2 linked regions of the Drosophila melanogaster genome follow. The protein of the gene in region 2 interacts with the protein of the main gene of each other region in a pairwise test. Each region holds a gene or a part of one and is shown on either strand. Other genes may lie near its edges.

Evidence for each region. The genes of interacting proteins can lie anywhere in the genome.
Region 1: the proteins of CG6484 (region 2) and CG12511 interact in a two-hybrid assay, tested with the Drosophila melanogaster proteins (one large-scale study listed by BioGRID).

Annotation. Positions count from the first base shown.
Region 1 is NT_033779.5:5,676,880-5,680,408, reverse strand, and holds CG12511 (uncharacterized protein), read right to left. Parts: upstream 1,828-3,529; 5' UTR 1,712-1,827; coding exon 1,684-1,711; exon of another isoform or gene 1,627-1,683; coding exon 1,259-1,626; 3' UTR 1,186-1,258; downstream 1-1,185.
Region 2 is NT_033778.4:17,581,224-17,586,292, reverse strand, and holds CG6484 (uncharacterized protein), read left to right. Parts: upstream 1-2,280; 5' UTR 2,281-2,349; coding exon 2,350-3,051; intron 3,052-3,467; coding exon 3,468-4,163; 3' UTR 4,164-4,286; downstream 4,287-5,069. Other genes in the region: CG14483 (uncharacterized protein), read left to right, coding at 255-503; Dcr-2 (Dicer-2), read left to right, coding at 4,867-4,887, 4,948-5,069.

The sequences.
Region 1 (3,529 bases), on a different chromosome or scaffold from region 2:
TGAAAATCTTGTTTCCAATTAGCTACCCAATTATCACCTTTAATTAATTGAATCTACCGCCGCCTGCGGTCGTCCAATCACAATCGCACTGCGACTTCTGTCGACGCGACTTTTAGTCCTTTGCTGCTGCTCTCCCTCCGATTTCAATGCTAATCACTGGCGAAACTTTCGACTTCATTTATCCTCGGACTGTCCCACTCGTTCTCTTTCAATTAATTGTGGCAACCACTAAAGGCTATACCTTGCTAATTGGGATTATCCATTATCGGGCAATCGGCATTTGAATAATTAAAATGTCAAATCTAACTAGTTTGCCAATTGCCGGACTTTAAATTGGGTGCAGGGGCTGTTCGCAAAAGAAAACAATTTTTGGCTTTTTCAAATGCAAATTTCATTGCTCATACGACATGTGTTCCGTACGTTGCCGTACGTGATGCGTATGCCAGTGAGTGTGTGAGTTTCGGGCTCGATTTAAATTGATTTTTATTGTTGGAAGAAGATCCCTGACCAGTGTGGCATATTTATTTTTTCGATCGCTTGCAGCAATCGCTTGCATTTTTCCCATAGCAGAATATATGGAAAAACAAGCTAAGGAATATCTCGGCCAGATGTCAAATAGTTATTCAAACGTGACAGGCTCACTTATTATTCTCACTCGGTGCTGGCGCAAGGGATGATTTTAATTGATTTGGAGACCGGCCTTCTATACACACATATAAACTTGGAAAAACTGTCAATGTTTATTTTCTTTTTCCAATTTTTTTTGCATATGATTCTAGCTTGCTAATCACATATTTTTCGAGTCGCGCAATGCATATGAAATCGGACACACCTACACCTACTTCTCTCACTTTCACATTGCTAAGCTATTGCCTTGGTTATGAAAAACTTTGCTTATGCATAAATTTTCTACCAGCAAGCGGGGAAAATTGAAATGCTTAAAAGCGCATGAAAATGTTGTTACAAGTTTGAAGTTTTTGCTGGGTCCCTTTTTATGCGGAGCACAAACTTTAAATGCACGTTACAGTATGTAGGTGTGTGTGTGTGTGTGTCTGTGAGTGCGGTAAAGAGAGGCTTGGCTATTTGTTAAGAGAATTTCTATAAAATGTTCAAAGCTTTTGTTATGGAAACTTTCCCTGCGTGCCGGCACCCAAAAACTGCAAAAAAGTATTCCCGCAGGCCACTACAGGTGAAAACTTTCGTTTACATCAACTTAAATATTGTGTATATGTGTGTTTGCGATCATAATTTGTATTACTTAAGCCCATCCAAAGCCGAGTAGAAAGCCGCCCAAGAAGGCCACACATAGACGACCGCTGGTTGCACACGCCTTCCTGGCTTTATCCCCAAGTTCCTGAACGCGGTTAAGATTCACTGGCTCCAGGGATATTTCTCTGACCTCTAGCTGCCCCCGGGACTGATCCTGTTCCAGCTGTGAGAATGTCTTGAGCACATCCAGCTGGACCAGTCCCGCCTGCCATGCCAGCTCGAGCGCCAGAATGGTACCGCCAGCGGCCACGGCCATAATCTTACTCGCCTTGAGGAGCACGAAGCCGGTGAGAAAACCACCGGCAGCTCCCATCCCGATCTGGCTGTACGGCGACCTCTGGCTAAGGCTATTCATGGCTAGGATTGGGTATTAGAGCAGGTGCCCGATGTGCTGCGCTGATTCGACATACGTACTGCTCTTCACCACTGGTAAGTCACTCATTTCAGCTGTTTTTGCGTCTTCCTTCTCTACCTGATGCTGTGCTTTTACATTCAATTTGGGTGAGCTATGGTGAAAGGTTGCTCACAGCATGCCACAACTGTCGCTTTGATTTGCGCCCTTCTATGCGCTTCTCACACTCCCCAGCTGCGCTCAACTGGGCAAATGTCCGCCAGACCGTGAACGTCTAAGCCGACAAAAACATCAAAGTTCGAATGCGCCCATGAAAGATTGGGGTGGCATTACGTAAACGACGACCCTTACATTAAATGGCCTTAAATTTGGTGTAAAAGCACATTTTAAAAGTTTTTAATTAGTCATAAACTCTGGCAAATCATTCCTGCACACAATCTCAACCCACACATATTTACATTAAACTTTTCATGGTTACTCAGTAATGCGATAGTCACTTTTCACTAATTTATGATGGATTTAAGCAGGCGGAACAGTTTTAAATAATTTTTAAATATATTGCTTTTATCTCAGTACAAGAATTGAATAGCTACTTCATAACGTAAACTTTAAAATCGCTGTTAAATACTTATTTTTCAGTGATTCATTGCCTTGTCAGCTACCAGCTATTCAGCTGAAGGTATAGTTGGCTGAGTTCGAGTTTACAGTTCAATTGCCTGGGACCCCCGAAACGGCAACGGGCTTTAACGATTGAATGCGTTTTGGGGCTTAGTCTCACCAGTGCTCTTATTTAATTTATCGTTCAATTATGCGCCCAGCCACGCCCAATCCAAATAGCTGAGGCCCCAGGAGCTGTCGAGGTGTTTTTCGTTTATCGCTAGCCGAGAATCAAATTAACAATGAGCACGCAAATTGCCACAAATGACTGCGGAACTGGACTCGAGCGGAAAAGGGAATTCAACTATTTTCCGAGCGATTATCTAGGAGGAGTAATGCAGTCTTTAAGTGCTTTTGTGCAAACAATATCTCAGTCGGACAACGGCAGTAAACACCCTTGGGTGATTCTCTGCAAGCAACTAAAGTGTTGGAACATTTAAATTGACATTAATAGGAAAAGTAAAATGTGAAATCGTCTTGCCCAGAGGAAACGGAAAATAAAAACCACACATGAAATATAAATGAAACAGAATGCAACTTGACCATAAAATGTGAGCTCAACTGAGCGAAAAAAGGGCCAACACAAGCGGAGTAACCGAGTAACAATTTCAACATCAATGCGAAACGTGTTGGCCATGTGGTGTATTCTCTTACGGCGGTGAAGTTGGCACAAGAAATCCTGCTATTCGAAACTTTCTCCCCTTACCTTATTTTTTTCTCCGCAAGTCCTGATTTTATGTCCATTGTTTAATACAGGTGTTTGTCTAAGTACGTGAGCTGGTTAGGAAATGCTTTCGTTCGACTTGTTCCATTTTAAAATATTTGAATATTGTCATATACGACGAAAATGAAATATTTACTTAAAAACTTTAACTTTTTGGTTTTGATGATGTGACTATTGTTTAATTTCTGTGTAAAGTCCTATAATTACACCCTTTAAATTGTATCGATTGATGAATAACGTACAAATCCTTATTGAAAAGATACCTTTTCCTTGCACTGTAAGCGTCTTCTCTTGAAAAGTTTACTGTGGTTTTCCACTGCTTTATATTCGGTTTGCTCGCCTTTAGACAAAGCGGAATCAAACATAAGATTGTTATTGTACTTTATTATAATCATATTGCATTATAGCAGAAACAGAATTCGGAGTTCTTGCAAAATATTCAAGCTATTGCAAACTTCTCTTTTGCGAATCAATGTCGTATGAAGTTTTTTATCATATCTGGGAGAAACACTGAATTTCGCTGCACT
Region 2 (5,069 bases):
AATATTGTGCAATTTCCAGGTGAACGGGTAAGTTCAAATTAAGGATTTTAAATTGTTTTTCCTAAAAACGGTTTTAGGACAACTGTCCCAAAATATATGTTCGCCTTAACCAACACAGCTCGCCCTGCCCTCAACGACAGGCAACACTGAGTTAATTGTAATCAGCTGTTTTTTGTTGATATTTTCGAGGAAAACACATTTTATTCGACGAAAATTACGTTTTATCACAACTATCCGAGTAATATTACAGCGAAATGGGAACCTGGGTGCTGGAGGTGGCCAAGATGGGCATGTACATGGCCTTTCCGGTGACGCTATTCCACTTGTTTAACCAGCCGGAATACTTTGAAGAATGGGTGACCAAGAAGAAGCGGGAACTTTATCCGCCGGAAAGCAAAAGCCACCACGAGGAGCTGCAGCGGGCAATCCGTGAACACCACGCCCAGCACGACGCCAAAATGATGCGTGCTATGGAGGAGGCGGAGGGCAAGCAGAAGAAGTAGATATTTCGTTATCAACAATCATCCGGCTAATCCCACGTTATATAATCGGGGGCAAGCAAACAACCGATGCTCCGGATGGATGTGACTAACTGATCTGTAACGACGTAATAAAAACATATTGTATTTAACCGAACAACACTCGGTTAATCATCAGGAAATAACTATGATGTGGCTCCAGGGCTCCACTTGAAATGCATTTTGGAGTCCATTATCTGGCGAAAACAGCTCGATTTCAGGCCAAGAGAGCACTCAGTGTGTGGGGTGGCTTGATAAGGCCATTACATGACCATTGACATGGTTGCAAGTGGAATCCACAAGGACTGGGGGCAACTTGAAATCGCTATACGAGTGTTCTATAGTCGAATTATTATCATTATCACCCAGTAATCGCTTATCTACAGCCAAGCCCGCTCTGCACTGCCCGCCTATCAGAGGATCCGTCCTCCAATCCGTTCGGTGGGCCATCAATGGTTCCATCTAGTTCGCTGATAACCGATAGTGCCGCTTGACCGCCAGGTGACCGTTGCGACTTAAGTGTACGTACAGGTATTCAGCTATTCTGCGATTTTGTCACAGTTTGGGGTCCAATCTGGATCGATCCAATAGCGGATTTTCCTACATGTGTTTTGGGCGTGATGCGATGCGTTGCTGGTTACGCCAAAGATTAGATGCACTCCCCGCGATTTTCGCTCATTCAATTATTTTGTTGAGTCTGTCTCCGCTATTATCTGCTTTTCACACGGCAGCGCCGAATCAATTGTGCCGTAAATAACAAAATACCGGAAAAGGTTTGACTTAATCAAGCCGAAGATAGGGTACCCTCAAATGGGGGATGAGATTTGGTAAAAGTCTTGCCAGAACCTTTAAGGCATGCAAGTAGTAAATACTTAACAATTTGTGATTAAATAACTCGCTAATCTTGATCTTATCTTACTGCAAATCATCGATTTTGCTAATACAATTGTTTTCATTTAAATTTCTAACTGTTGCAGATATTTATTTATCTTAAAATTAAGTTCAGTCTTTACTTTCACACCTTATAGGAAATGAAGACAATATGCAAAGGCAAATCAAAATAAATAAGTATGCAGTATCAACTATGTTTGTTATCGTATAAAAATGTTTCGATTTATTTATCATGTTATCATGGTTTAATAACTTGATTTTTAGCTAACCCATTCATAGCTTTATTTTCCACACCGTCTTGTTTAACAACTTTTTAGTGCGTCTTACACCAAGTAGTTGGCTTAAAGAATAAAAAACTCAATTGAAACAACAATTACGATAAAATCTAAAACATAACTACCCAGAGGAATTTAAAAGGTATATATGTAATCGCATACATATTCTAGCTTCCAATCGCACAGAGTTAGAGATGATGAAGCATTTATTATGGTCGGGGGGACCACTTCGTTCCACACAACTTACATACTTTCGAACTCACTCCCAATCCCAAGGGCTAGCGGGCGGACTTCGCCGCAGGGCATAGATTCGGGTAATTGTTGTGGAATCACTTGATTGCTACAACATGTTGGAACATGTGTTGTTGCTGGAGTCGGGCTTTTAATTAGCTGCTTTGGCTCTCAAGTGATTTTGGGCGCTCTCAATGACGCTGCGCCGCCTCCACCTATCATCTGTCACCTGGTTTTGTGGGTGAAACTATGGCCAACTGATTTACGGCTCTGACTTGCGGTGCTTGACTTTCTCGGTCGACGTCGCTGCTTTAGTTATCGCATGAAAAGCGATTTTTCCAGCGTAATAACGGTCGCGTGGCGAATTCAGTTCGTTTCCGGCGATCGACAAGGAAACACCTATAAAAACCAATTTAAAAAAAAAACCCCTCGCCATGTCCAAGGGATCGGTGTTGCCACAATATATTGCTGGCTTGTCGGCCAGCTTTGGTGCCCTCTGCATGGGCGCCTCCATTGGTTGGTCCTCGCCCGTGGAGAATATGATAACGGTGAACACGGAATACGGCTTTCCCATTAGCTCCAGTCAGTTCGGCTGGGTATCCTCGCTGCTGACCCTGGGCGCCACTGTGATCTGCATTCCCATTGGTTTCGCCATCGATTGGATCGGCAGGAGACCCACTATGTTAGCCCTAATTCCACCGTACATGGTGGGCTGGGTGCTGATGCTGTTCGCCAAAAACGTGACCATGCTCTACTTCGGACGATTCATTCTTGGCATGTGCGGCGGAGCCTTTTGCGTAACAGCTCCCATGTACTGTACAGAGATTACGGCGACAGCACTACGAGGCACCATCGGATCCTTTTTCCAGCTGCTGATTGTGTCGGGCGTGCTGTACGGCTATTTGGTGGGCGCCTTCCTGCCCCTGCTCACCATCAATATCCTGTGCGCTATTCTGCCCGTAATCTTTGCTATCATACACTTCTTCATGCCGGAGTCACCCGTCTACCTGGCCATGAAGGGACGCAACGATGATGCCGCCAAGGCCTTGCAGTGGCTGCGCGGCAAGGATGCCGATATCGATGACGAGCTCAAGGAGATCCTGGAGGAGTCCCAGAAGCAGATTGATATGCCACAGGTTAGTTAACATTCCACTAATAATCAATCAATCAATCAAAATCGATCGATATTGAAGGCATAAAGAAACTTTATAAAGGGTTCGCAGGGCTTTAACAGATTTATTACTCTTTCCATTATCACACAATCGGAAGTGATACATACATATACTTACCCTGATAAAAGAAATGTTGTAAATTCAGATAGTATATAATATTTTGTTTTCATTCATTAAGATTTTCAATAACTTGAACCAAGATAGGGTTTGCATTAAACTTAAACGATTTCGTAGTTAAACTACATATGAACACAGGTACGTAATTTGTTTCCATTATTCCATTTAGTAATCAGTGTAGCAGATACTACTTATCATACCTAATAAATACATTGATTTTGGTGAAGATTAGAAAATAATACGTGGTCTTATTTTTATTGCAGGTCAACATTCTGTCCTCCCTTCGTCGACCCATCGTCCTGAAGGGTCTTGGAATCGCTGTGCTCCTGCAGGTCTTCCAGCAGTGGACGGGAATCAACGCCGTTCTCTTCTACTCCGCCTCCATTTTCGAGGATACGGGCTCTGACATAAGTGGCAGCGATGCCACGCTTATCATTGGAGTCACCCAAGTGACCAGCACGCTGGTTGCCGTGGCCATTATCGACAAGGCTGGCCGTCGCATCCTGCTCCTTATCTCTGGCGTTCTGATGGCCGTGTCCACTGCACTGATGGGCGTGTACTTTCAGCTAAAGGAGAACGATCCGGCTTCAATGGACAATTTCGGTTGGTTGCCGATCAGCAGTATCTGCATTTTCATAATCTTCTTCTCGATTGGATTCGGACCGGTGCCGTGGCTGGTGATGGCGGAACTCTTCTCGGAGGATGTGAAGAGTGTGGCAGGATCGATTGCCGGCACCAGCAACTGGCTGTCGGCCTTCGTGGTCACGCTGCTCTTCCCAATCCTCAAGAGCTCGATCGGGCCGGGTCCGACCTTTTGGATCTTTACCGCGATCGCGGTCATCGCCTTCTTCTACTCTCTGTTCTTCGTGCCGGAGACCAAGGGCAAGACAATAATCGAAATCCAGGACCTGCTGTCCGGAGGAAAGGGTGTCAAAAGTGATGACAAGAGCCAGACGTGATGATGTCGCGTAGTCTTAGTCGTAGCGATACTTTTTCATATTCTCCTTAAGCCAATAAGAAAATGTTATGTATAAGAAGTGAAGAGCATAATCAATAAAGTAGAATCACCATGTATATAAACTACCCGATTGAATTTTCGTTCATTTCCGTCAGTGTAGTTCTAATTAGACTCAATTAGTATAATTCTAATTAGTTTGACAAGATTTTAAGTCTTGGAAAAAAATGAGGAAATAAGAAACTTTACTCGTATGGAGGAGGGCTGCAAACGAAGGTCTAAATGATCTAAGGATAGTATGGGTCAAAAAGTGATGTGATATATTCTTAACAATTGGTATTGATTAAGAATTCAAATAATAAATAATTCACGAACTTACACTACCGAAAATGCTTATTATTTTGTTGCAGATTTCGATAAAAATGGAAACGTTTATTATTTCCGGAAGGTATATTATTGGCAGCGAGCATTTCAAAACAAATTTATTTATGTTGCGGTTTGTGGTAATAATTTAAGTTCAAAGAACCGCACTGCGTAGTGTGACCAGTCCGTTTTGAAACACAATTCTTAATACGTTTGACACAAGGCATCTTATAAGAGCCGCTGGCCACTCTGTCACCGGCTTCTTTGTTCTTTAATCGTAAATTATTTGACTTCAAATTGTAATATCAAAATATCCCGAAGACTCTGTAACCAAGAGCGAAGATATGGAAGATGTGGAAATCAAGGTAAAATGAATTGGCTTGCGCTCTCGCTTATTGCAAAATAATTAACAAAATCCTTTCCAGCCTCGCGGCTATCAACTTCGCCTGGTTGACCACCTAACGAAGAGCAATGGCATTGTCTACCTGCCCACAGGATCTGGGAAAACGTTCGTGGCCATCCTGGTCCTAAAGCGCTTCTCGCAGGA